4 linked regions of the Struthio camelus genome follow. The main gene of each other region encodes a partner of the protein of the gene in region 2 in a complex. Links are inferred from orthologs where the notes say so. Each region holds a gene or a part of one and is shown on either strand. Other genes may lie near its edges.

Evidence for each region.
Region 1: CUL3 (region 2) and KBTBD8 share a complex: the UniProt entries of both Homo sapiens proteins name them as parts of the BCR(KBTBD8) E3 ubiquitin ligase complex. The link is inferred for Struthio camelus from reciprocal best matches to the Homo sapiens genes CUL3 and KBTBD8.
Region 3: CUL3 (region 2) and KBTBD2 share a complex: the UniProt entries of both Homo sapiens proteins name them as parts of the BCR(KBTBD2) E3 ubiquitin ligase complex. The link is inferred for Struthio camelus from reciprocal best matches to the Homo sapiens genes CUL3 and KBTBD2.
Region 4: CUL3 (region 2) and KLHL25 share a complex: the UniProt entries of both Homo sapiens proteins name them as parts of the BCR(KLHL25) E3 ubiquitin ligase complex. The link is inferred for Struthio camelus from reciprocal best matches to the Homo sapiens genes CUL3 and KLHL25.

Annotation. Positions count from the first base shown.
Region 1 is NC_090955.1:13,899,815-13,907,785, reverse strand, and holds the start of KBTBD8 (kelch repeat and BTB domain-containing protein 8), read right to left. Parts: upstream 3,009-7,971; 5' UTR 2,824-3,008; coding exon 2,808-2,823; intron 1-2,807. UniProt on the Homo sapiens protein: Substrate-specific adapter of a BCR (BTB-CUL3-RBX1) E3 ubiquitin ligase complex that acts as a regulator of neural crest specification.
Region 2 is NC_090950.1:12,984,689-12,992,138, reverse strand, and holds the start of CUL3 (cullin-3), read left to right. Parts: upstream 1-4,448; 5' UTR 4,449-4,582; coding exon 4,583-4,648; intron 4,649-7,450. UniProt on the Homo sapiens protein: Core component of multiple cullin-RING-based BCR (BTB-CUL3-RBX1) E3 ubiquitin-protein ligase complexes which mediate the ubiquitination and subsequent proteasomal degradation of target proteins.
Region 3 is NC_090943.1:55,282,359-55,289,807, forward strand, and holds the start of KBTBD2 (kelch repeat and BTB domain-containing protein 2), read right to left. Parts: upstream 3,007-7,449; 5' UTR 2,632-3,006; intron 1-2,631. Other genes in the region: uncharacterized protein, read left to right, coding at 5,818-6,019, 6,727-7,449. UniProt on the Homo sapiens protein: Substrate-specific adapter of a BCR (BTB-CUL3-RBX1) E3 ubiquitin ligase complex that acts as a regulator of the insulin signaling pathway, modulating insulin sensitivity by limiting PIK3R1/p85alpha abundance in adipocytes.
Region 4 is NC_090953.1:8,595,305-8,602,616, forward strand, and holds the start of KLHL25 (kelch-like protein 25), read right to left. Parts: upstream 3,003-7,312; 5' UTR 2,917-3,002; intron 2,828-2,916; exon of another isoform or gene 2,705-2,827; intron 644-2,704; exon of another isoform or gene 558-643; intron 1-557. UniProt on the Homo sapiens protein: Substrate-specific adapter of a BCR (BTB-CUL3-RBX1) E3 ubiquitin ligase complex involved in various processes, such as translation homeostasis and lipid synthesis.

The sequences.
Region 1 (7,971 bases), on a different chromosome or scaffold from region 2:
TACAAAATATTTACTTATATCACTTAAAAAAAAACAAACCACCAAGTATCACAATGCTTATTGCCTTGTAAAATGGGAAGAATAAAGCACGTAGAAGAATAAAATAAACCCTCAACCTAGATTGCCATTAGGCATGTCTGCATGTATGTACTTAACTTTACACTGAAACAGGAACTGGTTACTAACTTGCACAAATGATTGGAAATAGTACAGTCATAAAGAAACAGCCTTTGTATGTAGAGCAGCAAATCTATTAGATAAAGTCACATAAATTTGTATACATGATTACATGTTTTTCTTCACAAATAAAATACTATTACAATTTAAAATTACTCAGGTGTGAAGGAAGTCACATCGTTGTAAAAACAAGTTAAGTGAAGCATATGCTTCTAAATAACACATAATATGCTTAATGAAGTAAATCCCAAAGCGAAAATTGAGCAATATCTCAAGCGCAAAAATCTATTTCATAATAGTAACAAGATTTTTGCGCAACAACAACAAAGGAGAGCTCAAAAGAAAAACATTAGTTAGTAAGAGTTGCAAATCAGGTAATGCTGCTGACTGCAACCGAGAACACCTCCAACACATTTAGGGCTACACAAAGGGGAAGAAAGGACAGTGAACAGCAAGAATGATGAACAGAAGGTTTAAATCCTATCCCATGGTGGTATTCAGCAGCTACAATTTCTCTTAATCAGAACGCAGACACAACTTTGAGACAGTCCCAATTAAATCAGTATGGATCTGCCAACGGGCACACATTTCTTATAGCAGGCGTGGGGCCAAATACTGTCAATATCTCTTCAAACTACTGTTAGGAAAAGTCTTGAAAACACCCTTCCCCAAATAAAACAGTAAATGCCATACTTTAAGCTCTCCTTTCAGAGATCTTACTTTTCTTTATTACAATAACAGAGCTGCAACATTCAAAACAAGCAAGTCATAAGGGAAGGGGAGAACTGCACTTGCACATTTTCAGAAACAATGTTAATCACTACTGAGTAAATTCCAAGCAAATAATACTTTGCTAGATCAATTCCAACACTTCATAGCAAAGTTCTGACACGTAAGAAAACTCTTATGTATCCAGTACTGCATGAGAGTTTCATTTCCTTTCTACCATTGAGAAGCTTCAGAATAGTTCTTCTCCAACCTTGCCAGTTACTCGTCCAGCACATGCAATCAAGGCAGTTTCCAGCACTGGTGGAAATGGCCAAGAATTGATACTCATTCTCATGTCCCAGTATTTCTGCCCAATCCATGGCATTACCCATCTTACAGTTTTTCATGCTGTGAAACCTTCCCAGTCACTCTCATCACCTTTCTTTTCTCCCTGCCATGGGCATCTTCTTCATCTATTAATATTCCTCACCATTTGCACCCCGAAACTTTTGCTCTGCTCCTCCTAGATATCTCCTCCCCCAAAATACTGCCCACTTTCACCTCTCAAAAACTCCTCCCTTCTTCCTCTACTCTCCACAAATCCAATCTCACAGAAGTCTTTCATCAAAGGGTACCCAGCCCTCCTTCTCTGCTCAGCTCCCCTCAAACGTACACAGTGTGAAGGTATCCCCGAAAGACAACCTTCCTTCCACAAACTCCCCACCACAAGCAAATGACCATGCACACCTCCCTGCACAGGGTACCTCCCTAGACTGCTCTCTGCCTGTAAACAGGCCCTCTTCACCCAGGCTTCCTCCTACTTCCTGTCCCCAACCCTAGACCCCATAGACACCTCCCAAACAACCCTCCTAGGTATAATCTTCCCCATCCAGCACTGACACCACCCACTGCAGGTGCCTCACCCAAGCACCCCTGCCCCACAGGAACACCTAGGATGCCCCCCAGCACCCCTCCCTCACACACACCCCCAGACACTCCCCCAGTGGGGCACTCACCTGCCAAAACCTCTCAGTACAAAACCCCCCAGCATCCTCCCCATGCGCCCCTACAGACACCCCTCAGCACAGAAGTCCCCAGCATCCTCCTTATCACCCCCAACACCCCTCAGCACAGAGGCCCCCAGCACCCTCCCCATGTACCCCCCACAGACGCCCCTCAGCATAGAGGCCCCCCAGCACCCTCCCCACGTACCCCCCACAGACGCCCCTCAGCACAGAGGCCCCCAGCACCCTCCCCAGACGCCCCTCAGCACAGAGGCCCCCAGCACCCTCCCCACATACCCCCCACAGACGCCCCTCAGCACAGAGGCCCCACAGCACCCTCCCCAGACGCCCCTCAGCACAGAGGCCCCCAGCACCCTCCCCACATACCCCCCACAGATGCCCCTCAGCACAGAGGCCCCCAGCACCCTCCCCAGACGCCCCTCAGCACAGAGGCCCCCAGCACCCTCCCCACGTACCCCCCACAGACGCCCCTCAGCACAGAGGCCCCACAGCACCCTCCCCACGTACCCCCCACAGACGCCCCTCAGCACAGAGGCCCCCCAGCACCCTCCCCACGTACCCCCCACAGACGCCCCTCAGCACAGAGGCCCCCCAGCACCCTCCCCACGTACCCCCCACAGACGCCCTTCAGCACAGAGGCCCCACAGCACCCTCCCCACGTACCCCCCACAGACGCCCCTCAGCACAGAGGCCCCCAGAACCCTCCCAATGTACCCCCCACAGACGCCCCTCAGCATAGAGGCCCCCAGCACCCTCCCCATCGCCCCCCACAGGCACCCTTCAGGAGAGACCCTACCTCACAGCCGCCCCTCCCCCACAGGCCGCTCCTCACCCCCCTCAGCACGGCCGCCCCTCCCCCACCCACCCGCTCCGCCTAGGCGGCCCAGGCGCACCGACCTCCTAACGCTGCCATTCTCGGGGCCCCAGCTCCGGCAGCGGGAGAGGGGGGCAACCCGAAAGGAAATGTCACCGGGGCTGCTTCCCCTGCCCCGCTTCCTCCCCGCGGCCCGCTTACTACCGCGGAAGCCAACCCCGCTCCTCGCACTGCCCAGCCTGGGGCGCGCTGACTGGCCGCCGCCCCCGCGGCCTGCCGGGAAATGTAGTGCCGGCGCATGCTGGGGCATGCTGGGAGCTGTAGTCTCGCGGAGGGGCGGGGTGCCTGGGAGTTGTAGTTTCCAAGAGGGGCTGCGGGGGGGGGCAGGCTCTGCCCGTCGCTTAGCAACGGCGGGGTTGGCGCAGGGGAGGGGGAGTCGCTCGGCAGAGCGGCCATTTTGGGGCCCTGCGGCCTCCACCCTCAGCCAGGGGCATGAGAGCGATCCGCGGCGCCTTTCCATACCCCTGCTGTTGGCCACCGCTGCCCTCAGAGTGTTCCCCTCTCCGGGGGCACCCAGCAGAAATGGCCCCTCCATGGACATAAATCCCCCCCCTCTCATTCCTACCTCATCAGTTTTACAGGCCTTGCAGTGCCTCCTGCAGCACAAGCTCCCAGGCCCAGCAAGGGCGGAGGTGTCGCCCCAGCGGCGCCCACCGGGTGGGCTGGGGACAGCGGCCACCACGGCCCACGCTCGAAAACCAGCAGAGAGAAGCGAAACAGAGAAAATACTTGCAGGCCTTCTGACACAGCGAGGGCGCGGTCAGGGCACAGAGGCGTTTGGCTGATAGATCCAGGACTTGCTTGGGCCGAACTGCTCTTTCCTCAAAACATATAACCAGCTACTCAGGCTGCAAGCTCAGCATGCCAGGAGTGGTCATTTTGTTCTGTATTTGTACGCCCCCCCCCAAACGCCCGGCACGCTGCTGCCAGCCAGATTAGCAATGCCAGTGCTACCTACAGAGGCAGCTAAATGCCTCTAGCAACCATTTTGCTGCCAATGACCTTTAATATTACAAAGTACATTTCTCTCTCTGTCCCAGAGATCGAGTGGCTGATAGTTGCCAGCTTTTTTGGTTATCTGCAGTGACGAGCCACTGGTTTCATTCTTGATAACTAAGTCATTACCAGAAATTTGCTGTGGGTTTTTTTTTTCCTTTGTGAAATGCATTTAATGAAAGAAGAATTACCAAATACTAGAAGCATTCAGAAGGCCTGTGGATTTTTCTGTTTTTATTAAAATAGATTATTTTAATAGATTCAGCTTTGCAGCTGAATAGTTGGCTGAGAAGTTTGTTTTGTAAAAATCAATAAAGCAAGTGAATGAAAATTCATTTAAATAAGATCTTAAAGACACATTTCCCTTTAACTCTCAGAAATAACATACCATAGGTACATTACCAACAGTCTAAATAAGAAGAATTTAAAAGCAAGACTAGTACTGCTCCGTGACTGCCTCTTCTGTGGTTTTGCTTTCGCTTGCAAGGAATAGCTTTTCCCTAGTTTAGCAATTATCAGTGGTGTCCAGGCTGCTGTCGATAATAATACTACACAACATGAGAATGATAGAGACTGTGATGAAAGAAGTGTAAAAGAAAATAGAACTTCACGTCTGCAAATCGATTCTGCAGTTTTCCAATTTCCCCATTCAGCACTGGCCTGGGTTGTGAAATTGACCCCAGAAATATAAAACGAAAGGAAAGGAGAATACCTCCACTCTTACCTTTTAGCAAATGACATTGCCTGATGCAATTCATTTCCTTCGGTGTGGACACTTAGGCTGGGCTGGATTAGTGTGCGAAATGCAGGAGTGAAACGGAGAATGTTTTTTAATATAGATACCACACTGAGCCAGTACTTCAGAGTGAAAAGTATTTCTTGCAATAGCTTACCTTTGTAAGGTTTTTGGCAAAGCAATAAATTGCTATACAGGTTCAAATATTCTGTAAGAGGTATTGATAGCAGCTCTTTTTCTTAGTTAGAAGTCTTTCTCAAGTGCCTAATACCTCATCACTCAGTCCTCTTTCTGGAAACCCTCATTAGCACTCCTTAGCACTAAAAAGATTTAGCGCAATATAACACTCCCATGGAAATCCAGGGGCCAGGGTTCTTCATCCAGGTCTGCATATGATTTGCTCGGTCTCTCAGCTGTAAAATGAGAAGCATGTTGCCTGAGCAAATTATGTCACTTAGTATGTAAAAGCTAGATATTATAAATTGCAATTGCATTGCATACAAACATTAGGACCAAAACTTTCAGAAATTACAAGATGCTTAGTGAGTTCCAGCTCCCTTTTTTTCTGCTGCATGCCTTTCTTTCTCTCTTTGTCTGTGTTTTGCCTGGGAATTAATACAGGCCCAGGATTTGAGCACAGAACTAGGAGTCAGAAAACTGGGTTATTGACTTAGTGTTAACACTGATTTACTGCATGCTGTTGATCAAATCATTTGATTTCATGGGTTTTGGCTTCCCAGAAGACAATGAGGAGCTGTGAATTCCTTTGAGATATATTGATGTAAATTCCCTTATCAATATTATAATTTCAGGTAAGTTTTTTTTTTATTATTATTTTTCTGGCCAGCAGTCCATTGCAACTGATTATACCATTTGAGATTTTGCAAGAATCCAAAACCGAGGACATTTCCTGGGTATTGAGGGACTGGAATGCTCTAATGAAGGCTTTAATTTCACACCTATTTCATCATTCCTGCACATACAGCTTGTAAACACACAGCTGAGAACACTTGGTAGAGAAAGTATTGTTTCCCATTTGATATTCAGAGACTCAGAAATAAAGATGAAATGTCGAATGAGAAGGAATTCAGAGTCTTATGAGTGATCACAAACATTGCTCTCTTGAGGAACTCAGAACTGGCACTAATTTTACTGGGATCCTTGCCTTCAGAATGAAGAATGTCTTTGTCAAGAAACCAAGCAAGAAGAGAGGGAAGGAAAAAGTTTTAGGAGAAAATGAGTAAAATATACTTTTCTGCAGATATTTGAGAACTTAGAGGATACCATCAAAAAGTTTTTTTGCAGATACAATTCAGTTATTGAAAATGTTTCCATTCTTTGTTACACATACGGAACACATTATTTAGGAAGTTTTGCTTCATCTACCTTCAATACAGGGACCGGGAACACAGTAGATCTTTGGCAAATTCTTAGCTTGGATCGTCTGATGAGAAACTGGCCAAACTATCCCCTGCTGGACAAGAGATAATGCCCAGAGCACTTCTGGGGATCCTGCTGATGTTTTTTTTCCTGTGAGCAAAATGCAGATAATAAATACCACTGGACCAAAATTTAAAGAAAAGTATGAATAGGGTTTCAGTCAAACAGCTTTAAAATGGAACAGTTTTTAAGCCAAAGGAATATTTCCATCTTTATTTTGTATAAAATGCTTAGTCCAAAATTTCAGGAAGAGGTCATTGCTTCCTCCTTGTACTTTTTTCTTGCTCCTCCCCTGTATGATTTTTTTTCACTGAAAAATGGAGGGCATAGAGAGAGGAAGAATCAATCTCTACTCCGCCATCTTCCCACACTCCTCCACCCACATACCACATAGTCAAAAAAAAAAAAGAAAAAAAGAAAAAAAAAGAAAAAAAAGAAAAAAGATGTGGAGAAGCTTCAAAGGGCTTTTTAGGTTTTCATGGCAACATTTTGAACCGTTACTTTTTTCATGAAACTATCCAATTAAAAAAATAGCCAATTTCCAGCAAAATTATTTAACTCTAAAATTTAAATATAATACTGGTAAAATGAATAATATTATTTGCTATCTCCAAAGATGTATCAATTAGTAACGTTGACAATTGTTCTGTTATTTGTATGTGTTAAATCAAGTCATACTGTGCATCTGTGAGAAGTAATACAATTGATACTACCGCACTCTGAAAAACCCTCATATTTTAATTGGAAAAATTTTCATATTCACTGTGGAACGATATAACCTTGGAAAACAATCTTTTACCAGTTTGTCTTTAATGCATAAAACTGCTCATTTTCTGCAATTCCGTCACCAAGGGGCACATTAATTTAGTTGCACAATTATTTAATAAATCGATACATTGATTGAAGTAGAGTTTTTTATTTAGTGGTTCCAAGAAATAACACATTTCTTATAGAATCTTTAAAAAGACACTTCTTGTTGCAGTTTAAGTAGGGGGAATTGCAGATCATTAGAGGAAGTTGCCCTTCAAAGCCAATTGATCTTAGCACACTGAGCACAGTGGGCGCTACATCAGAGGAGAGCAAGGACTGGCAGGGGGCAATTAATGGGGCAGATATTGGAGTGCCTTTTCTGATTACCCCATACTGTACAGTGGATTTGGCCTTGCTGAGACAGGCTGGTAGAAACAAGAACCCTGATGAGATATGGCTCTGCTAATGTCAAGAAGTGCCACTTCCTAGCAGCGGGAGCAACTTTATTGAAACCATCTGTTGTTTTGGAACACATGCGCACATGCACGCACACACATGCACACTTCCTCCTCCCAAAGTGTTTAACCTTTCTTTTAAGGCTGGCTGAAATCACACAGCTAATCCCTCCTTAATCTCAGAATGACAGGCCCTACTGTTTTCAGCAAGTCCCAGCAGCTACTGAAAATCAGAGTGACTGGTGGTGTTTAGGTGAAGTGACAGTGATATATTCTGGAGCAGTCACTTTAGAACAAAACACCCATTCATCCACTGTCACCACAAAGTTTTGCAAGACCAGTCTGCAATTACTAGCAGCCTGGCAGAGCAGGCTTGGGTACTCATGTATAGATGGGAAATCTATACTCCGATGGATCTGTTCTACCCAGGGGACAGAAGGAGATTCAGTGAGCCTGGTCCCACTGAAATCTCGTTTTTCAGCAGATATAACCCACCAGTGATCTCAAAGGAAATAGCCCTTTTTGGGGTACAGTGGACTCAGAATCTCATCCCTGTTCCAATTTGTTGAGTATTTAATCGCATTTTTATGCCACTCTCTCCTTAACGTGCCAGGACCCTTATGCTTCTCATGGCTGTGTTATAGAGAGGCTTGCATCAAAGCCCCAGCTGACAAAGTGTGGCAGTACCAGAGCATTCACTGAGACTGAATTAACTCTAGCATCCTTGCAGATAAAGTATTTCTGTCAGGATACACTGAAAAGCACATCTATGCATGTTTCATTTCTTATTCCTAAAAGATGTGATGAAAA
Region 2 (7,450 bases):
AAGAAAAGTCTGAAAGTGGATAGAAACTATGCGAAAGAGCGCACCTTGGCGCTGTCCTGCTTCTTTGAAGGGAAGTATAGTAGTGTCCTAATAAATCATGCTTCTGAGTATTTCCCATGTTTTTATAATACCCCACTGACCCCATACCTATTATAATCTATGCACCTTATACACGGAATCAATCCATTGAGATATTATTTTGATTTATAGGGGAAGGACTAAGACAAGGCACTAAATGGGTATTTACCGGATCGTGCTGAGCTTTGTTGGTCTTTACGTGATTTGGAATAAAATTCTGCTTTTGGCAGGACTACCTTTGTCAGAATCCTCAATGCAACGTATTCAAAATCAACCTATGTTTATTCACTGGTTGTTTATTTTGCTGGTACATATCTCTGTGTTGTTACAAAAAATACACATTTTTCCCTCAGTTGTGGAAGTTGTGATGGAAAGAATGATTTGTTTATTGTTTCTCCCAAAACAGTAACATGGGAAAGTGAAGGGACTATCTTATAGATGGGGTTACTGTGTCACATATAATGCATGCAAATTTGAAAGCAACCATCACATGCAAAGTGATGCAGCTTAAAAAAAAATGCCTGCTCCTTTATTCTGCACTTTAAAGGGAGAGAGCTCACTCTTCTTCCCACCCCTGTATGCAAATACTCTTTTGTTTGTCTGTAGGAGGACCTTATAGAGTGAGGTCAAGCCCTGAAATGCTTATCTAGGAGTTTACATTCAAGCGTTTAGGTACTCCTGGGATCAGAATTGGGTCATTCTGTTTCCTGCTGTGACAGAAACCTTTTTTTTCTTTATACTTGTATTTTTCAGTAGTTGTATATCACTGAAGGCGGTGAGTGAATATGTAAGGAAGACCTGAAAATTTAGGTATGTGTGATTCCTTGGAAGTGATGCTTATCTTCAAAATATTGGTTCCTGGCTTCAGCGGAGCATGATCAAGCCTCAACAAGGAAAAAGTCACTGTTTAAGTTTATAAGAACATTTTTCTGTAAGTTAAACAATAACCACATCCAGCTTTTAAAAGCCTGATTATGAAGATGTTAATCAAGATTGAGTCTGATGTAGCATATTGTCTTCACATTGGTCAAATATGTCTGCTGCCCTTCACATGACTAAGGTAAGTGCTAAATCAGATTGTAAAGACAGTGTTTGAACAATTAAAGGTTTGTTGCCACCTTCAAGATAAATATATCAATGAAAAGGGTCATCCTTCTCGTGCTGACAGAAAGGTGATGATATGCCTTTCAGGTGAAAAGGTTCTGTATGGATTACCAAGCACCTGAGCATCTTCAGTATTGCATTTAGTGATATGTTCAGCAAAAAAGGCCTGATGACCTCAGGAAAAAAAAAAAAAAAGTGAATGGCCACTTGGCATACACTGCATATGTTGAGCTTTTCTCTGCACAGTATAATTTGTTCTGGGGGCCTTCATACCTCATGTCTGTATGCTGTTGTGATTGGTGGAAAATATGACTAAGGTTGTTGCAACACACACGATCCTGAACGTTCAAGAAGGGTGACCATTCTTTTTCACAAGAACCGTTACCTCACTGCAGGACTAACTGAAGATATGCAAGATACGCACGTAAAATAGCTGCCATGACCCAGTTAAGCAATAGGGTGGCTAACTCTTCCTATGCTAGTCTGTCCTCCTCCACTCATCTTTCTGGTTTTGACCAGTCTATAATTAATGTTATAAGCACCTAAAGAACCTCTAAAATAGTTCTTTGTGTGAGCTCCAACCTTGTTTTTAGCAAAGCTTCATTTTGTAGATTATGTATGGAAAGAGAAAACTTGCAGTGAAAAGACTGTAGTTGTCTCCACATGGTCTGTCCCAGAACAGACCTCCAGAATGCAGGGAGGAGCTCCTGGTGCAGTTCTGTATAGCAGATATCCCCACCAGGTCGCAAATCTGCATAAGGAGATGTCTCAGGCAGCAGTTTCAGCTTTTAATAATATAAGAACTAGCAATATACGTCTCTTTGTGTGTTAGATCTACAGGCTCACAGCGTGGAATTAAGCTAGCTGGCATGGGTATTGAGGGAAGTGGGTGTGAGAGTAATTTTACTTTTAATTCAGCGTACCATGCTGGGCTGAGCAGCAACTAAGGGTGAGTCAGCACTTTTCAGACCCTCAGATAAAAATGTGTGCTAGTAGCGACTAGGATGAGCAGAAGGCGAGAGACTGATGTTCCAGGGTTGCGGTAAGCATAGGCCAGTATGGGAGGAAGCACAAAAGCAGTAATTAGAAAAGTTTATCTAGAACAATCGGCAGTAATGGATACTTGGAAAGTTCATTAGGATTGTTTTCAGCAATTTTTTCCCTTCTTTTCCTGAATGAAGAAATGCCAGTTCCTCAAAAGCAAACTATTTCTGGGAAAGTTTGGCTTTTTGAAAACAGTATTGTATTTGTTGCATTGCACACTTGCAACATTCTCAAAATGAAAACTATTAGGACAAATTTACTTTTTATTTAAGTGTTGTGATCCGTTTTCACAAGAGTCAAAATGAAAACTTTTCAAGTGACTTGATCTTCACTGTTACAGAAAAAATATTGGAATTTACTGTCATTGAAATACAATATTATCCTCATTTGGCAAAGGAAATACTTAGGAGGAGAAATAATCTGCAAATCATATTGAAACAATACAGAAGCCATGTTCTTCATATTAATAAAGGGCAATCTTTCCCTTCCCATCACATCTTTTCTGTTTCATCTACATTCACTATAATTTTAAGCAGGGCTGGCTGGTATTGCAAAGTCATGTTGCAATCATTGTTTATTGTGCTGCTGTTATATAACATCTTCTCTAGGCGTATACTTAATTCTGATCAGGAGATTAAGAAGAAATCCCGTATACAAACATCTGTAGTCTCAAGGGGAAGTGGTTGTAACAAACTGAGAGACCAAAATGAAGTTACTTCTGCAGAAGGTGGGCCAGCTCCGAGAGGTATGTTACCTCTGAGGGCAAAGGCTGCAAAGTGTAGATGCACCTGCAGGGAAACAGTGATAGAGAAGCAAGTGGAGCTGGATGAAAAATGGACATTGCAAGATGCCCAAGATTCAGAGTCTGGTTTAAGAGTCACCTAAAAGAAATGCTCTTCCTGGTTATGCTGCGTAGATCCTCTGGGGGAACCCGAGCAAGTGATGTTTTGTCCCACATTTCAATTTCATCCACTAACTTTTCAGTTAGTCCCCTAGTGACTAGGACCTAGATTTCTTTTTTTTGGTTGAGCAACGTAACTTCCAGAGGTACTAAGCTGCTGCCGACTTACAAAATCTGACATTTTCAAAACACTCTTCCCTTTTGCAGCAACTGCCCTTTCTTGAATGACCTATATTTAGCACTGTGCTCATGCAAGCGTTGCCTCAGGTGGCAGTCTCATTTCTCAGGCACGTATTGATGAGAAACAAAACATAAATAAAGAGGAGAGAAAACAAATGCCTTGCATCAGGGCATTGTACGAGTCTCCCACGGAGGGCTACGCCTACGGGTGGCATGATTCAGAGGGGCACAGTGGACATCTGGGAGGCCACAGAGGGCTGAGCAGCAGGAAGAGGCACAAAACGTCTGCCTTTCCTCACAGCGCCGTGCGAGCTTCACCGCAGGTGGCCAGAGCAGCGGCGCGGGAGGACAGCCCCTGTGTGTTACCCCGAAAATAAAAACGTCTCGCATCCGGGGACCCCAAGAGGGGGGATAGTAAGGGGGAGGGGGGCATGTTAAAAATAAATAAAAATAAAAAAGGGGGGGGCAGCAGGCGGTGCCAGGCACCGCGCGGCCCACGAGGTGGCCTGCGGCCTCAGCCCGCCGCGCTGAGGGGCAACCGGCCGGCGTCACCGCCTGCTCGCGCGCCGCTCGCCCCTCCCCGCCGCGCGCCGCTCTCCGCCAATCAGCGGCCGCTTTCGCTCCCGCCCTCCTTCCCCCCTCGCCGCCGGCGCCGCCCCCGACAGTGACAGCTCGGAGCGGCTCCGCCCCGCCCGCCGCCGGGAGGCCGGCCGGAAGTCTCGCGAGATTCGGCGCGGCGCCCCCGCCCCTCCGCTCCCTCTCTCCCTCCCTCCTCCTTCCCGCCCCCTTCCCTCCTTCCCTCCCTCCCTCCCTCCCCCCCCCCGGCGGCGCCCCGCCCCGCGGCCTCCTGCCGCCTGCCGCCGCCCCCGCCCCCGCCCCGCCGCCGCGGCCGGATCTGTCTCCTCGCTGCCTCGCTCGCTCGCTGGGTGGTGGTGGCGGTGGGAAGGGAAGCGGAGGAGGGGAGGGGGGGGCGCCCGGCCTTGCGCACTGAGCGATGTTTGTCCGCCATCGCGGCGGAGGAGGAGGAGGCTGAAGGAAGCGCCGCCGCCGGAGCCCGGGGCCTGCGCCGCCGCCGCGCCCCCCCCACCGCCGCCGCCGCCACCTCCCCCACCCCCCCCCCCGGGCCGGCCCGCCGCCCGGCGCGGCGGCCCGCAGTGAAGGTCGCCAGCGGCCTGCCCCGGCCCCGCTCCCGGGGCCCGCCGCCCCGCTCCGCCTGCCCCCGGCGCTGCCGCCGCCGCTGCCTCGCGGGAGGCGCCGCTCCGGCCGGGCCCGAAGATGTCGAACCTGAGCAAGGGGACGGGCAGCCGGAAGGACACCAAGATGCGGATCCGAGCCTTCCCCGTGAGTACCGGCCGCCCGGGCCTAGCCGGGCCGCAGCGCCGCCGCCGCAGGCCCCGCCGCCGCCCGCCCGCAGGCCCCGCGGCCTCGCCGCGCTGCCGGCACCGCCGGGCGCCCTGCGCAGCCGGCCCGGGCCGGGCGCCGACCGAGCTGTCAGCGGGCCGGGCGGCCCCGGGCCCGGCGGGAACCGCGGCGGGAGCGGGGAGCTCACGGGGCTGCCGGCCGCCGCGCGGCCGGGGCAGGCGGCGAGCTGGTGGCCGCGCTAGTGGGCTGCTCGCCAGCCAAGCGAATCGGTCGCGAAAATCCACCCCGGGCTTGCGGGGTGGGGGGGGCCGGTTCCTTTGTTTTGGACGAAAAGGCCTGGAAGAAGGAGTCGGAGGTTGTGTACCTGCATCAAGAACACTGGTGAACCCGGGAAGCAGGGTGTGTGTGTGTGTGTGCTTGTTTATGTCTTCTGCGGAGTTTTCTCTCGGTGAATTTATTTCATTCTCCTCTCTGTGGAAGAGACTACAAGCCTATGATTATAGGATTTAGGTGGCAAAATGCCAGGTGTGCAGAGTGTGTTACTATAAACATCTGGCCATAGGTAACTTCCACGCGTGTTCGGCAGAGCCACCAGCATGCCATCTCCTTGAGTTACGGAGGGGAATGAGCCAGTTTATTAATTTATACTGCCATAAACCTTGCTCTGTTTTGACAGTTGGTGCAATTAAAGCTTACGACAGAATAACAGCTACAGTACTATTAATGGTGTTGAAGGAACGAGGGAAGTAGGAAAGCTGCAGTGTGCCTAAGGATGGCCAGGAAGTGTGTGCGTGTTCATCTATGTATGTGTTAAAAAGAAGATTCTTAGTTGAGTCATTGGCTTTTAAAGCTTAGCATAACTTTTTGATGTTATGCCTGATCCTAAGCGGCAGTGGTATAGAACTAATGTGCCTTGCCTTTATGAAGAAACTGGACATACCTGTTTATGTTATTTCCCTGGCAAGGAATATATCAATATATTTGCTTCATTGAAACTCTTGCTGATGAAATTAGAGAATCCTTTATGTTCTCAACAGCTGGTTCAGCCATAGCAGTCTGAATTGTACTGCTGTCCTCTTAGTCCTTCCTGTACTTTTAAAAGTAATTATTGACTGTTACGTTTAGTGGTAAAAGTTAAAAGAAAAAAATGGGCTAGGAAATGTATGCGTTTTAGCTGATGAAAGGTTTTTGATCTTCACATTATATATTTTTAAACACTCTTTTTTTCAAGAACGTTACTACTGTTAGGATATTTTGGTTTATGGGAATGCAGGGAAAAGGCTTACTGCAACGTGGCCAGGGCTTTACAAATACATAGTAGGAAAACTTGTGCAAAAATTAACCATGAGAAAAGCTATGGTCCATGTTTTATAACGTACTACACCAAAAGATAGCAATTTTTAATTTGATAATCAGATCCTTGTATTATAACTCTGTACATATGTAGATATGGGTCAGCCAACAAAGGCAGGCCTAACAATGGCATAAACTTCGATTTGCGTTTTATTTTTTTGACCGTTCTTGTAAACGAGCATACGAAATTAGGTTGGTGGGTGAAGAATGCTCATACAGAGGCCTGTTCTTACAGAAAGTCAAGCATTGTCATTGTGGTTTTTTTCCTTCTCAAACTGTTTGTGTTAACATTGTTTCTTTTTCCTTTTCAGTTGCTTAAAGAATATTTAGATAAAAAATCTTGAGGGAGGAAAAAAAAAAACAAAAAAACTTCTCTCCCAAATAGCGCAATAAGTATATATAGGCATCAAGGCCTACAGATCTTAAGTATTTGCTGATGTCTATCGACAGCAATTTTTCAGGTGTTCTCTTCGATAGATTTTCTTTTCTGAGGCATATTGTTGACAATCCTGTTGATAAAGCCTTTATAGAAAAGGAGCATGTATTTGGGTGAAAGACTTTGAGGGTTTTATCTTTTATAATTACAGAAGGCTATAATAGTTCATGTAAAATTCTAACACCAATTTTGCAGTCATCTTAATGTTTGTATAGCTTTGGCCCTGTGAATAGGGCCAGTGACTGCAGTGGGATTATTCATGTCAATGAGGTTACATTTGTTTGCAGGATAGAGTCTATATTTAGAATGCAAACTCTTCATACTTCAGTTACTGATCCTCATTCTTTTATCTTAGATTTGTTGGTTCTGCTCTTCAGTTTTGAATTGGGAGCACTACCAGAGACTTCTCGTATGTTACTTCAATTTGTCATCTTGCTGATCATCTCTGCCTGTTTTTGTTTAGTTGCCTTCTTGCACTGGGAGCAGCTCTTGATTAGTATATTAAATTAGAGGTAGCCAAATTGGACAGGTAACATAAAATTGCTATGTTCCAGGAGCCTTATCTACCTCTGTGTAGGTTCATAGGTCATCATGGATCTCACATTTTCTGTTTTTATAATCTTTTTGATATTTTTCTGATATTGTTATCTGTTACAGTAGCAAAAGGAAGAAGAAGTAATATTTTGCAAAATAGTATTACTTTTAATGTTTCCTTTTTCTGCATTATTAGAAGTTGGGTGAGTAGAAATTGCCCAAAACTTTTGACCACAAATGTTGTACCTAGAGATTGTTATGCTTTACGATTAGTTTTGTTCTAGATTCTTTATTGTATGATTTCTTGTCACTGGTGGCAGAATATCCCTCATCAGAAGTGTCCTTTAGCATTTATTAGCTCCTGATATGTACTCTGAGTTGCTCTTTCTTTCCTCAAAGCACAGTGAGTTCTGGGGATTCTATGTTGAAGTGGGTTGTAGAGTAATCAAAAGTAATTG
Region 3 (7,449 bases), on a different chromosome or scaffold from region 2:
AATTGATGAAGCAGCTTCAGACTTGGAAGTTTTCTTCTTTCCTGAAGCCAAAGTTATCACTGACAGCACTGGAGTCCAGAAATTTGAGGGCATCAAGGAGATTATATCTGATAAGACAATGACATGAAATCTCAAAAAACTCAAAGGACCAGCTTATTCCTACATTGTTTATATCTTGAAAATTACTTTTCATTTCTTACAGGAAGTTGTTCCACACATATTATGCTTGGGATAGGAGTTACAACTTCAAGGTAGATGAGCTTCCTGAAACTAGACAGAAGCTACAGACTGGAAGTGTGTTTGGTCACAGTGTACTCCTCAGTACCAGTTTCTTTCTTGTGTTTCTGCTCCTAAAGGAAATTACATAGCAAAGGGAAAACCTGCCCAGAAATAACATTAGCACAAGATAAACCAACAACTTAATGTGGCACCTGGCTTTCTAAGTAGAGCATAGGTACAGTTTCCATCCCCAAGGGCACTTCAGTCTTGTGGAAAGAATTGACCTGCTTTGGTAAATTAACATTTGAAAAAAGTAAGCCCTGGATGTCTCTAGTCAGGTCCAGCCATATATCATGACCGTAGAGAACAAGTGCATTTTCACTGAACTCCATAACGTTAGCAAAGCTAGTCTTTTTCCTTTAACAACTTCAATTCCAATTCACAAGTGTACCTCATTCCCTTGAACATCACACTATTTCAGTGCAAATATTTAAACTGTAAATTCAAGTATCTCTATGTTAAGAAATTAGGCTAATAATTAGTGTAGCTAAAGTAATCATAAATTACTTCCTGAAAGGTGAGAGTCATTTAATGGGTACCTCATTCACATCCATTTATTCTCAAAATGGAACAGCAACTAAATTAAGGATGAGCCATTTTAGGATTTGCACCAGTTTTGGTCTATTTCACAATCCCATGACCAAAATTAAAAAGCCTGCCTCAAAAAAAAAAGAAAGAAAAAAGAAAGAAAAAAGAAAATCACACTCTCCAAAATTTAGTTAAAAAATACCGAGTAAACGAGCAGCAGAGTCCTTTCCTCAGCTTTGGTCTGTTCCTGCAAGATGCTAGAGCTACACAGCACCTTGTATAACTGGGCCTTTTTATTCCGTATGCAAAAATCATTAGATAGGAGGAGCAACCCCTACGCTCAGATCATGAGGTTATTTCAAGTATTCACATAAATCATGTATTGACAATTATCTGTTTCTCCTAATACACTTAAGAGAAGCCAAACTAAGCTGATAAGGTATTTTAATGATCTCCTAACAGCATCATCATAGCAAAATTCAAGTGGAAATAATCTTAGGTGAACTCCAGTCACTCAGAGAGATTTCCACCATAGGCAGGCATTGTAGTTTCTGAAACAAACGGATAAACTGAAGGTGGGGCAGGAGAATACTATTCAGGTCCACTAGGAACATGAAGTAGCATAAAAACACACACACAAAACATACAACAAACCATGGTTTTGCAGGGAAACCTCTAAAAATGAGGCACTAAACACTACACAAATCTAAGTCATAATTACAGTTACTTCAAAAGCAGCAGATATCTTTTCCCTGTAGTAAGTATTTTTAAAAACAAAAACACTAAATACTGGGAAATCTCATGCATGCAAATGGTTGATTTCAAACCATCTCGTGTTCTCTACTACATATATGTTTAGTGTATAAAAGTTCATCAAGAATTGTTTGAATCTTCAAATCCACACGTACTGAAGCCCCACAAAAGTCACTGTGGGTAGTAATACCATATGTACACGTACCTAGACATATCAGCAAGAAAAGGTGGTCAACTACAAGAAACAGCAGTGTACGCTGCAGTGCTGTTCTCCTGCAAGACTCCATCCTACCTGTCCTTTCAGGCATCTCTAAAAGCATTCACGTTACAGACACCCCTACCCGCGGGGCTGAAGAGGAGCACTCAACGCTGGAAGCCCTAATCCCCCCTCTCCCTCCTCCCTCTATCAAAGGACGCACTCCGCAGTCCGCTCCAGCTTGCGGCACAGTACTAGAGGAGGAACACACTTCGCTCCTTCCCGATACCCAGGTGTGCCGTCCCGTCTCTCCATTTCTCCACTTCCCTCTCCTCCTTCCTCAAAGATGCTCCCCCACCAACCCTAAGGAAGTGAAACGGAGCCGCTGCGCGAGTACCGGGGCACAGCGGGAGCCGGGGCCAGGGCCAGGCCCGGCGGCGGCCGCCCCGCCGATAGCCAGGCGCGCTTCCCTCCTCCGGCCGGGCTCTCCCCCGCCCCGCCGCGCCGACAGCCGGCGCTGGCCATGGGCGGCGAGGCGGCCGCAGCAACCACCTCGCCGCCTTCCTCAGGCCGCCCCCCACCTCCGCGGGTCTCCGCCGGCGCCTATAGCCGCAGTTGCGAGGCGGGAAACGGCGGCCGCGCCCTGGCGGGAGAAGGGAGGGACACGACGGCCGCGGAGCCCCCGCGGGCCTCCCGCCGGCGGGGCGAGGGCGAGGCCGCGGCGCGGTCAGGGGCGGGTTGGCCCCCCACGCCCACAGGCCGCGGCACGGGGCGTCGAGACGGCAAACGGCTCCGCGGCCGGGCCCGGCTAGGGCGGCCGCCGCCGCCGCCTCGCGGCGCAGGGAGGCGCGAGTGCCGCCATCGCTCGGACAAACCTCTAACCGCCGCTTCCTCTTCGGCCTCAGCGTCCCGAGCGCGGGCGGCGAGAAGCGCGGGGGGGTGGGGGGGGGGAGGTTGGGAAGAAGCAGGAGGCGGAGGATCCGGTCCCCCCCGGGCTGCGGAGGCGGCGGCCACTACGCGCGCAGGCGCGCTGCCCTCCGCCGCCGCCTCCTCCTCCTCATCGCCAGCAGCATCACCTCCGCTCGGCGGCCGTTACGATGCGCCGCGCGCTGCCGCACCCGTCCGCCTCCCCCTGCGCATGCCCAGAGCGGCGGCGGGGGGGGGGAGGGGGACGCAGCCTCGCGCGCCCTGTCTGGAGCCTCGGCCCCGCCCCCGTTTCCTGTTCCTCTCCCCCGAGCTTCCCCCTGCCTACGCGAGCGCCCACGCGCCAAGGCAACGGCGGCCGCTCGGGCGCTTCCGCCGCCAGCTGCGCAGGCGCGCGCCGAGGCGGGGCAGGCGGCGGGAGCCCGAGGGGGGCGAGTGCGCCTGCGCGGCGGTCCGACCTCGCCCCGCGCGCGCGGCGGGAGCGGCTAGCGGCGCGCGGGAGCGCTGTGGGCTCAACGGTTAACGGCCGGAGGGCGGGAAGGCGGGAGGCGCCGCTCGGCATCGTCCCGCTCTTCCTCCCAGGACCTCCGTTTTTGTTTTCTTTTGTTTTTTTCCTGTGGTCCTCGTTCGGGCTTAGACGCCGTACGGTTAAAAACGTCATTTGGCCCAGTGCCAGAGATGCAGAGCCCAGGTTTGCCTGCCCCTTTACCAAATGCAGCCTGAGGCTTTTGAGGGCTGACATCTGCAGGGGGAGAGAAACAACAGGGCAAGGGAAAGGGGAGAAGGCTGATCCAAAGAAAAGGCAAAGCTTGAGATAATCAACTTTTTAAAAACCACGGAGTGTTTTTTTTCCTTCCTTTGATTTTGTTTGTTTTTTCCAGTTTTTGTGCACCAAGAGAAATGTAATTCAAAAGTAGGTGAAAGCCTAATCAGATCATTCCAGGAGTTGAGGGTTTAAAAAATCCCAGGCAAATCATAGAAATTGTATCAAAGTGCAAGATCAGAGGAAAAGACAAGATGCGAGATTTGCCTGGGGAGCTCTGAGAACAGCAAGATCAACAATTCTTCCCTGGTAGAGCCCATTTCAGAATTTGTGTCTTGGTGCAAAGGACAAGGTTAATTATGCACATTATGAACATTATGCAACGAAACAATAGAAGTAGGAGTAATTTCCCAACCTAGATATACAAACCATATCTAAGCATCCACACACCTCTCTTTTTCTCTGGTCAGTGACCTACGTGCGTCATGCATTAGTTGTGCCTTCCTCTCTCGCCATCTCCCCCAATACCAATGGCAGTTGTAGCGTTCTGTCACTCTGGTTACGTCAAGTTGTGAAGTGGCAAATCAGATTCTCATTTCCTGTAAGACACAGGGCAGAGTCAAATTATAACCATAAAATTCATAAATTACTCTGGTTTACACCTGGTAGAGTACATTGGGCTTGAGTATATAGTTCCCTTGTTCATGTACAAGAAAATTACAGTCACCTGTCCAAGTAGTTGTGTGAGAATGGAAGAGCGTTGCTCCTTGTAATCAGACTGAGCAGCTGATAAACTTTGAAAATAGATGTAAACTTAATCTCCTCCTTTCTATCTTTTGTTTCTATAAGCAATGTCTTTAACAGTGGGGTTTTAGGTGGAAGATGGGTAACAATTTCCTTTGACACCTATTGCTTGCTTAACCTAAGTTCCAATGTTACAAATATTCCTAAATACTGGATGTATTAGAATTACTTAGGGATGTAACTTGACCGTCTGCAAGATGAGACTACTAGCTTTCTTCACACAGGATGAAGGGTTTTACTGCCATTCCTATCCCCGTGTTTTGTTCCTCCCACTGATTGATGGAGAAGGGTCCCCCATCACTGTTAAATGAGCCTCAGGTGGGAGAGGGAGTGGACCATAGTAGCTGCTTTCCATAAAGAAGGTGAGCTGAAAGAGGGCTCAGCTAGTTTCTTGCTGGGCTGTAAGCAGCAGCAGCATGGACCTTAGTTTTGAGGGGCCCTAATGGGGGAGGAGTAGATTGTTTGTGTAGGTTTTTTTTTTTTCCTTTCCTGTTTCTGTATTTGCTAAAGTCATTGGGGGGGGGGGGGTCTTACTCTAATAGAGTGAGGAGAGTCTATAGGGTTTTGGTTCTTATGGTGAGTTGGGCAGGCTGTTCTAGATGGAAACTGAAGAGGGCTCCAGTGTTCCTGAAAGCTTTTTGACAATTCCCTGGGTGTGAGCTGTGTGCTAGTCTGTAAGAGGTCTTAACTTCAACTTTATTTCTGTAACTTCAAAGTTCAAGTCCTCTAGATAGTTGAACTGCTGTCTTTCTCCTGTGTAAACACTGAATCTTCTGTGTTCTCCTATTACTTTTATTCTTGTTTATAAACTGTATCTGACAGCACTGTATCTCTCCTGTGGATTGGACTGGACTAGTCTTGCTGTATGAATGTACTGAAGAAATACATAGATGTGGGGAAGGGTTCTGTTTTACTAGTGAATTTTTATATTGCTCTTAATGTGGACTTAAGCATAGGGATTTTGCTTTTCTTGTTGCCTGTCACTTGGTTTGAGCATGGGAATTGTGTTGCTGAAAAACTTGGTTTATTATGTTAGTTATTTTTGTTTTAAAGTGTCTTCTGATGTAAGAATACTGAATCAATAGAGCTCTTACTGTGAGCTCAAAGACACCATGTGTGCTGATGTCTACAAGGACTTTTTTATGAAGCACCAAACCCTTGACTGTGTGAAGCATTCCACTGCTCCAGCTAATTTTTTAAAGGCCTTTTGATCAAGACTGACTGATCAAATGTTAGCTTTTCATTTGGCTGGCATACTACTTGTATGGCCATATGCCCATAAAGCTATGTTAAAGTTATAAATCCTATGACTGTTTTGTGACTTTTAAAATGGGGTTCTGGAGAAGCTTGAGGGAGATTGGCTTGAAGTACTGAGAGTAGTACATAAGTTCGTTTGGTAAAGGAGAATTAAAATCTCTGACTTCACAGCAATGTCAGTTTTCTACCTTTTATTTAGAGGGTAATCTGTCTGCAGGGGAAAGGTTTTGGCTCATTGGGCTAGAGGTGAGGATAGGGAGAGAAATGCCTGTTGAATTCTGACAGGGCATGAAATTGTCAAGCTGCACAGAATATGTTGAAGTCACTTACCGCTTCTCTTTTTCAGTGTTTAAGAGGGAAACAAAAAATGAATACTGCCTCAGCTTCAGAAAGTGGATCATATTCCACAAACCACACAAGACCATTTTTTTATGCACAGCCAACAGCACAACAGCCTTTTCCAAATCCATGGTACCTCAGTCATGCGTATAATCCATACTGCGTACCTGCGCCAGGTAAGGTAAATGGCAGCCGTCTGAAGTAGTTATGCTTAGTAAATTAGTACTAGAGTGGAGGAGATTAATGTATATGTATGTGTTTAGAAGCCTCTTGAGAGTTTAGAGTGGAATTAACATAGTCTTTCAGTCTTCAAAAGATCCAGGTTTTGAAGTGTTAGTTAACTGTAGTGCTATTGAAAGGTATCTGTTTCCGCAGAATAGAAGCGAAGCAAAATATTATTATCTTATAGCTATAGGGCTCTAGAATATGCCTAAGAGTGTATGTGTGTAAATGAGCTTCATACAAGCACATACACACTCTGTGTAAACATAAATCACACAAAGAAACAGTACTATTAAATATATAATGTAAATAGTATACATATGCTAATTGCTACCTATAACTGCAGCCGTCTTTCAAAAACGGTGCTATGACTTAGTGGGTATAATAGCAGAAAATATGGAAACCTAATTAGTGCATGCTCCTGGGACAAAATCAAATTTTAATTACAAAGTGTAGCTGTCTAGATAAGCTGTTCCATAACATGGCACCCTCTCTGGGGTTTCTGTGCAAGACTTACACTTCAGCCATCAACACTTGAAAGCATTACTTTAAGGGTCAGATTTTGTAGAAGCTCCTTTGTATGCAAGCAGTTATTAATCAGAATGATTTCTTTTGGAAAAAAGATACATTTGTCTCTTTTCTTTTTAACCCCACTGTCTAGGCTTCCGAAGTGGAAATCCATATTTTCCATTTTATTCTGTTGCACTCCATGAGTACCCTGGATTTTTTGTTCCACAGCATCCAATGCATGCAAGAATTAACAGAAGGCCTTATTTTAATGCTCCCCCACCCTCCCCTATGTTTTATCATGCAACACGATTTAGACACTATAGTACCCCTGGGAAAAAAACAGAGACAAAGGAAACGCAGACTGATCCTAGACAGCCTGAGAACAAGCCAAAAAAGCATCAAGATACCCATATAGAAACGAAAGGTTGTGATGCAGGAAATATGGCCTGTGTTTCTTCTGGTATAGGTACAGAGACTGAAAGTACTTCAGAGAAACAAGATTCTTCTGGATCTTCCATTGTGGTAGACAGAGAGTTTCATAATAAAAGCCCTTCTAGCTCTACACAGTATAGAAACCTTCCTTCTGGAAGCTATGCCTTTGAGAAGGAGGAAGTAAGAATAGAATATGGAAATGGCTCTCCAGCAATTCAGTTGTGGAAGTCCTTTAAAGAAACTATTCCTTTGTATGATGTGGCAAGTGGTAAACCAGTCCCAGAGAATATAGTGCAGCGTGACTTATTTTCTGTTAGTTCGTGTGAAGGAATGATATATGGCCCTCATGAAGGGGAGAAATTGGTGCCAGGAACTTACATAGATGAGAGAAAAGCTGTTCTGCCTTCAAAACAGAGTGCTGAAGCTATGCAAGAAAAAGAGG
Region 4 (7,312 bases), on a different chromosome or scaffold from region 2:
TAATGGTCAGTGAGCAGACAGTGGTTATGGGATACGCAACGTTCCCAGGCTTGGGGGGAAGGAGGGGGGGGGACAGAGCAGCCTTTACTGGCTGGCGTGATGCTAACAGCCACTGAGGGGCTATAAAGTTGATCAGCAAAGACAGACCGATGTGATGGTGGTTAAAGGTCAAGCCAGGGGGCTGGGGGCGCTTGTTACAGCTCAACACTTCCTAGGCAGCACTCCAGCAGCCACTGTTTTAAGCCAGGCCAGCCACGCTCACTGCAATTCAATTGCAGTCTATAAAAGGCTGGAGTAAATCTACGTCTCAGGACAAGTGCTGACATTACTTCTTCAAACCTACCCCTTCCACGGAGGCAGAGCGCCAGCGAATGCCACTGCCACAGACACCCAAGCTGGCTCTGTCCATCCTGCTCCACCTCCTGCCACCCAAGGCCATGGCACTGCTCAGCACCCTCCCTTTTGTAATGCTGCCACTTCCCCGCTGCCTCACAAAACGCTGCCTCTGCTCCTCCACCTCTGCAAACGGCCACATCCTGCCCTTCTGTTCCACTCACGTAGCTCATCCACGTCGTCTAAAGCTTCCTCCGGCTGTTATGAAGCACCTGAAATCCTGCAGGCTTTGGGGAGCCAACGATTACCACTGCAAGGACAAAAATGGTGTCATAATTCACACATACATATAGATATATACACACTCCTTTCTCATCCTTGACTATCCAGGACCATACCCAGCACTCCTTCCAGCACTGGAGGGACATTACATGTTACACACCCCCACACACGCTCATTTTCACACTTTCGGAGTATGTGTCATGCCACCACTTGTCATCTGTTCCCAAGCAGTCTGCCGTCACAAATTTCATTTGCCCAGCTCCTTCAATCGTACGACTTTCAACCGGCTGCCTCTCCTCTTCAAAAAACCACATCGGAGACACGGTGCCAGCCTCGCTGCTCGAGTTACTCGCACCTACCCAAAATATAGCGTGCGAGGTGATCCCAGGGCGCAACTCGCACGCGTGAAGAGGCTGAGGGACTGCGGATGATAATCCCAAAAGACTTAATGCTCAGAAATGAACAGAAAAGGATAGGAAGTTTAAGTTCCCCAATGCTATAGCTGCCTACAGCCTCCTGGGTCTACGTTACGGTGCTACTGCCCTTCCGCAGCAAATTTCGCGGGGTTTAGCTCTAAGAATCCTGTGCCCGCACCGAACCTGCCCTACGCAAAGCAAACTTCCACCTACGCCTCTTCCCCAAGCGCTTTGCTGAATACAGTCCTATCACCATATCACAGAGATAAACCATAGCAGATGGTCAGAGACACAAAAGAAACAACATGTGTTTTCAGGTAAGAGGTAGCACACAGGACAAGGGGAACGGAGAGGCCCCAACGAGGCTCCCATCCCACTAAACAGATCCTTTGAGAGACGGACAGGGAAAAGAGAGAGCACGCAAGTCCCTCGGACTGCTTTTACACCTACTCTGAAAGGGCTATTACTGGGGTAGCAATGAATAACACAGCTGTGTTAACAGCAGCAGCTGGCCTCCACCCGAAACGTGCAGGGTGTATGACAAACACGTCAAGTCGCTCCTAAGGTGGGTTCAATATAAACAAGCATCACAAGACACAGGAAGGAGGGAGAAGAGAACAAGGTTTACATAGTTTAAAGGTTAGAGAGTCATTTGTTTGTCCCGGGACTCTGGATCCGTCCTGGACAGAACGAAATACATTTGGAGGAAGATTATGAATGCTATGGCCCATGACGCACTGACCAAGGAAGTCACTCCAGCAGATCACAAGGGAAGATGTGCAGAGGCTCCCGGGGGGAACAAAAGCCAGTTATGAAGCTGGGGCGCTCTGTACGAAACGCATGAGGGATGCCACTTAGGTGGCTCCTTATGAAAGGGTGAGGACAGAAGTCTTTGTGAGCATAGCTTTGGTCTAGTCTAAAAAAACAACAATCAAACAAACAAAAAACAGCCTAGAAGTGAAAGGAGGTACATTATGGGGGGGAAAAAAAAGGAAAAAAGAAAACAGGAGGAAAAAAAACCTCTGCTTGTAAGCTTTGAAACGCAAAGGGGCCTGTAAGGACAGCAAAGTGATGGGGGACTATTTTTTCCTTTGTCAGTTCAGATCAGTCACTTATAAAAAATCGCACACTTCTAAAAACGAGGTTTCTCCAACTCATTTTATCACAAACACTTTGGAAGTCACATCCCTTAAGCCACAGAATCGGTTTTTGAGAAACACACACATAACCAGCAAAGCAAGGATGCTTTACTTTCATATTCTAGATACAAACGGCAGCTTTTTGTTATAAAAGACTAAAGCCCTTTCCCTCCCTAAATGTGTCAGTGGCAGCTCTCTAAGCACGTGAAACCTGCCCTAGGAAACACGACGCTGCAAAATCACAGGCAAGCGATGGGGCCGGTGATCCGGCCAGCACGCTGGGCCCCCTTCCGCACGGGATAACGTACGGCTCCATACATCCACGCTCCGTCTCTTGCCCTTGCTGCGCGCTTTAACAAGAGCGACTGGCCCCGCTCGGGGAGGGCAGCGCAGGGCGGCGGCAGGTGGGCACGGCCGGGGCCGGGGCCGGGGCAGCATCCGCGCACGCCGTGGGGAAGGCGATTCGCGGCGGGCGAGAGGCGCGTTTGCTCCGCTGCTCCCCGGCGTGCGAACAGGTTTTGGAAAATAACTCACCTCCTCTATCCACGCTCGGAAAAGCAAGAAACCCAGCGAACCTGCGTGTGGGAACCCCGCCACGGGAAAGGTCAGCGCAACCCCGGCTCCCACGGCCCCCGCCGTGGCCCCGCGGAGGGCCGAGCGCCGCGGCCGCCACCCCCGCGCACGGCTCCGCGGGCCGGCGCTGCCCCGGGCTGCCCCCTCGCCGCGCGGGGCCGCGGGGCACTCACCGGCCCACGCGCGCTGCGCTGCGCTGCGATCCGCGGCCGCGCCCCGCCCGCGCCGGCCCGGCCCGGCCCGGCCCCGCGCGCTCCCTGGATACAATGTAGCCGCCGGGTGGAACGCGCCTCGCGTGGAACCCGGGGGCGGGGCCGGCCGCCGCCGCCGCCGCCGCCGCCGCCGCCACTCAGGGAACGCCGAGCCCGTGACGCGCCCCGGGACGGCCTCTCCGCCCCGCCCCGCTGCGGCGCGGCGCATGGGAGGGGGCGGGCCCGAGCCCGGCGGCGCGACCAATCGGAGGAGAGGAAGGGGGTTGAGGGGCGGGGCGAGGCCGCTGGGTGCCCCCGGGTCCTAAAGTCCGCCTCGCGCCCTGCAAAGCCCCTTGTGGCTGCCCTCTCTCCTCCCTGCTGTTGCACCCCCGGCGCAGCGCGCCTGGCGGCCCCGCGGGTTTGCGCCACCCTCTGCGCTGGCACCCCACTGCGCGATTTTAAAAAAACGGCTGGGGGCATCGGTGAACACTCTCCAGTTTTCTTGCTCATAAAAGTCACTCAGGAATTAGGCTCCTGGCCGTCCGCAGAGAGCAGGATTGGCACCCTGCGGCACGCTGGCCTTGCGTGTCGCTCCCCCAGCTTCAGCCTGGCACGCTCGACCCAACCCTACAGCTGGGACACGAAAACCTCTGATGAAACTAACGTAGATTTACTAACTCTCCAGTGTCAGCTCAGCAAAATTGCAATGCAGGGGTAGTGTAAGGGTCAGCAAAACCCAAAAGGGCCCCGTCGCCTGCAACTCCGTGCAGAGAGATTGGGAGCAGACAGGAGGTTTGCCAGCGGACGTACCTCCTGGATAGGGACAGCCAGTTGGTTACTGCCTTCCTCCGGAGGGAGCAGGGCGAGTCCAAGTAAGCGCTTCCTTCATCAAGCGTTACAGGACTGGCAAGAAAATAGTCTTATTTGTAAACAATACAATTTTCCCCATAACTCGTGAGCAGGTGTTGCAGTATTTGTAACAATACTATCTCTGCATACAACATGTAACTAAGGAGTTGAATCTGTAGCATGATTTCACAGTGCCTGCACCTCTTCTGGGAAATGTGTAGTGTTCTTGCTACCAAAAGAAAAAAGAAAAAAAAAAAAAAAAAGACCAGAAAGCCATGGATCACAAATTTTGGACACACAGAAAAGGCAAGGAAGAGATATTTCTTACCTTCTCTCATGACCTCATTTCTCCAGGCCTTCTCCTTATACTCAGTCACAAACTTTCAGAAATGAGATTCAAGTTACAAGCGAGAAACTTAATAGTGCTATTAAGCATATCTCCCCAGATAGTAGCTGGATGGAAATATCCAGGTCCAAAGTGTATAGGTTCTTCTATACAGCCAGTACGGTCTATTTAAGGCCTGCACTGAAGAAGCTCCTTCCCACCTAGTAAAACTCTTCAAGTTTCCTGCTGAAGAAACTGCCACCACTTGTCCTTGCTTCGTAGCAGTGATTCATACGAAGCACTGCTGACATGGGCAATTTTATATAGCGTGGGCATGGGAAGAGGTGGAAAGTGGCTGCTATGGGGATTTATTGAAACAATAATCCCAATAAAAGGCTACATTATAAAATACAGTCCGTTCTCATCTTCCCAGGTTGAAACAGAAGGACATCTGCTACGGCTGGCAGGGCCTGTGTGTTTAGTAAATAGCAGGGTGCACTGAAGATGCTGAACTATATCGAGCTCTTCTGGATCTGTGTTGCAACCAGGCCATTGCAGGTTAACTCTTAGGGCACTGCTGTTTTCCCAGCTAAGAGCACAATTACTCCTGAGAGGCCCACAAATTGTCCCGGGGCCTTTTAATGACTTTAACGAGCTGCTCAGGAAGACAACAGGGATTTGTGCAAGAGGTGGGTGTGGTGGCATCCAAAATGCATCTGTCAAACAACAGCAACATTAAAGACAAAATCGATTTTCACTGTGACTGTTGAGTTCCACCCAGTCACTCGAAAGTGTGAAAGAGCTATGGAGGAATGGGAGGTCATGTTTGTTAATTGTGAAACACTTTCAGACTGCTATTACAAAAGCAAAATCCTGTCCCTGGCAAGCTGCATGTGTGAACTCAGCTTGTCTTCTGAATCCTGACAGGCAGAATTTTTGGCAGCTGTCAGTCATAGAGGAGCTCTCTGCAAAGTTGTATCTGAAAAGATGCTTTTAAGACATAATGCCTAACACTAATCTCCTGCCCACCAGCTTTCTAGCTTTATAACTCTCTTGATCCCAATACAGTTGCTCCTGACTCCCACCAATGCAGTCGTGGGTGGAATCAGACCCCTGGGGCTGTAATTCCAAATAAAGCAGCCTTGTCAAATTCCCCTCGCTTGCTCACCTCGGGCAAGTCATTTCTCTGACGGGTGATCAGCAGGACTGTCATCATCCCGGTGAAGGCCAGGCAACTAGATTTTCTGCCTCACTGGGCGTTTGCAACAGTTTTACTGTCTAAACACTGCTGTCTGTGACTCTCATTCATTCTCCTGTCTCTGGCAGAGCTAAACACCAGGCACTCCCAGCAAGCCCTGGAGGAAGCGTCCTGCACTGTAGAGGTTCACGCATCTGGTGTTAAGCTCTGGGTGCTCACGGAGGTAGGATTCGGATACTAGGTTTTTTTTCCAAGGGAGCAGCTCCTTAGTATTGATAGCACTGTCAGAAGATAGTGTGCTCGAATCGCTGAACACTGCATCAGATATTTTCCTTTGATGGGAAGAAATCTATCTATGCAAGGAGTGATGCTTTGAGGAGCAATACTTAGCCACACAAGAAGGCTGGATCTGCAGTGATGGGCACAGCGGACATACCAGGACTGGCAACTAGCTCCTCTCACTCGGAAGCTGAGCCAGATATCTGGGAAAGCAGGGGGAGCATAGGGGGAATGGTTAATTGCAAGGGAAAAAACCCTTGTAGGGCATTTACAAAAATTTCTTGTTTTCCTCTTGTTTAAGAGGATTTAAGTATTAAGAGTGTGTAGGGAAAAGAAGCTTAGTTTATGATGGATGTTAATACCAGCTCCTTATATATGATACTGGCCTCAGGCATCCCTTAAGGTATTTAAGGGACTAATACTCTGTTTATGATTTCAGTTTACAGGGGAAATTCTCTTGCACTGTTAAGCAAATCATGCCCCGCGTTGGCCTTTGGTTGGTGTACATAATGGGCAGGCAGTGTTAGCCAGCTGGGGTACAAAATCTTGCAACTTGTTGGCATTTTGAAAATAAATTGGAAAATCGTTAACTGAGATTTTCCCCTTCACCTTGAATCATTAAAGGGAACAGGGGTTAAATATTTTTAAATTTGGGGGAAAAAACAGTTTTAAATAAAAAAGTGTTTACCCTGTTGCCATATTTGTTTAGCACAGCATTCATTAGGGATGAGACACTCACACATTTGCAAGATTATACATTTGGTCTAACTTGCTTTAAAAATCAGCCCTAATTGCCTGGTTCCCATTAAAACCTTGCCTTCCCAAAGGTGGATGTTCCAAAGATTTGCCCTACCCAGCGTTCACTAGCTGTTTGTATCTATTTATGTAATAGATCTAGCTCTGGAGGGAGTTGACTAAGTAGGTGATGTTCTCACCTACAGAGAAGCAGCAGGAAGAATAAAATCTGGCCAACAAACCACATTGACGTCTTTGTATCTTTTTTGGTTGTTGTTGTTGTTGTTGTTGTTGTTTTTAAGAGAGCATTTCCGTCCTACAAAACTTAACTCTTCAAGAGGTTAAATAAGAAAATTTAGTGTTTTCCCCTCTAGGTCACTGGTTTCAGTCCACTGCAGGTCAGTAACACGCCACGACTGCTAATGGCTGCTAAGTGGTCTGTGTGAATTAGTTTAATGCTTCTCAAGCCAGATGCTCGTTGACAGATGCCCAAAAAATCACGACTCCAATTGGCTTCCTCGTTGGCAGTCACAGCAGGTTGGTCAAGGACTGAAGAGGCCATGCAAATTCAGCAGTTCCCCTAGGCTAGGAACACTGACAAGGTTGCTTGTGAATACTTTCCCCTGTTGTGAATGCCAAGAGCCTTCAGAGAAGGTCACAGCACAATGCTAGGAGCACCGAGCACCGGTATCAGAGGACCCCATCCATGCTAATATCTCTCATTCATCTGGGGGAACTCTGGTAGCAAAGGTAGGAAAATACAGCTGAAGAGTCCCAACAGAGGCAGTTCTGAGGTCAAGGAGATGATGCAAGGTAGCAAAGAGAGTCTTGACAGAAGTTTTCACACTTTGGCTTATCCTGCAAGGGAGGACAAACTGCAGAGCTGCCAGTCAGACTAAACTAACGTACTTTCCCTACAGCAACAAAAAAAAGACAAGCTTCCTCCCTCTCGGCCTTCTCCTCCTGATGCCAAATTTAAGCAACCTTACTTT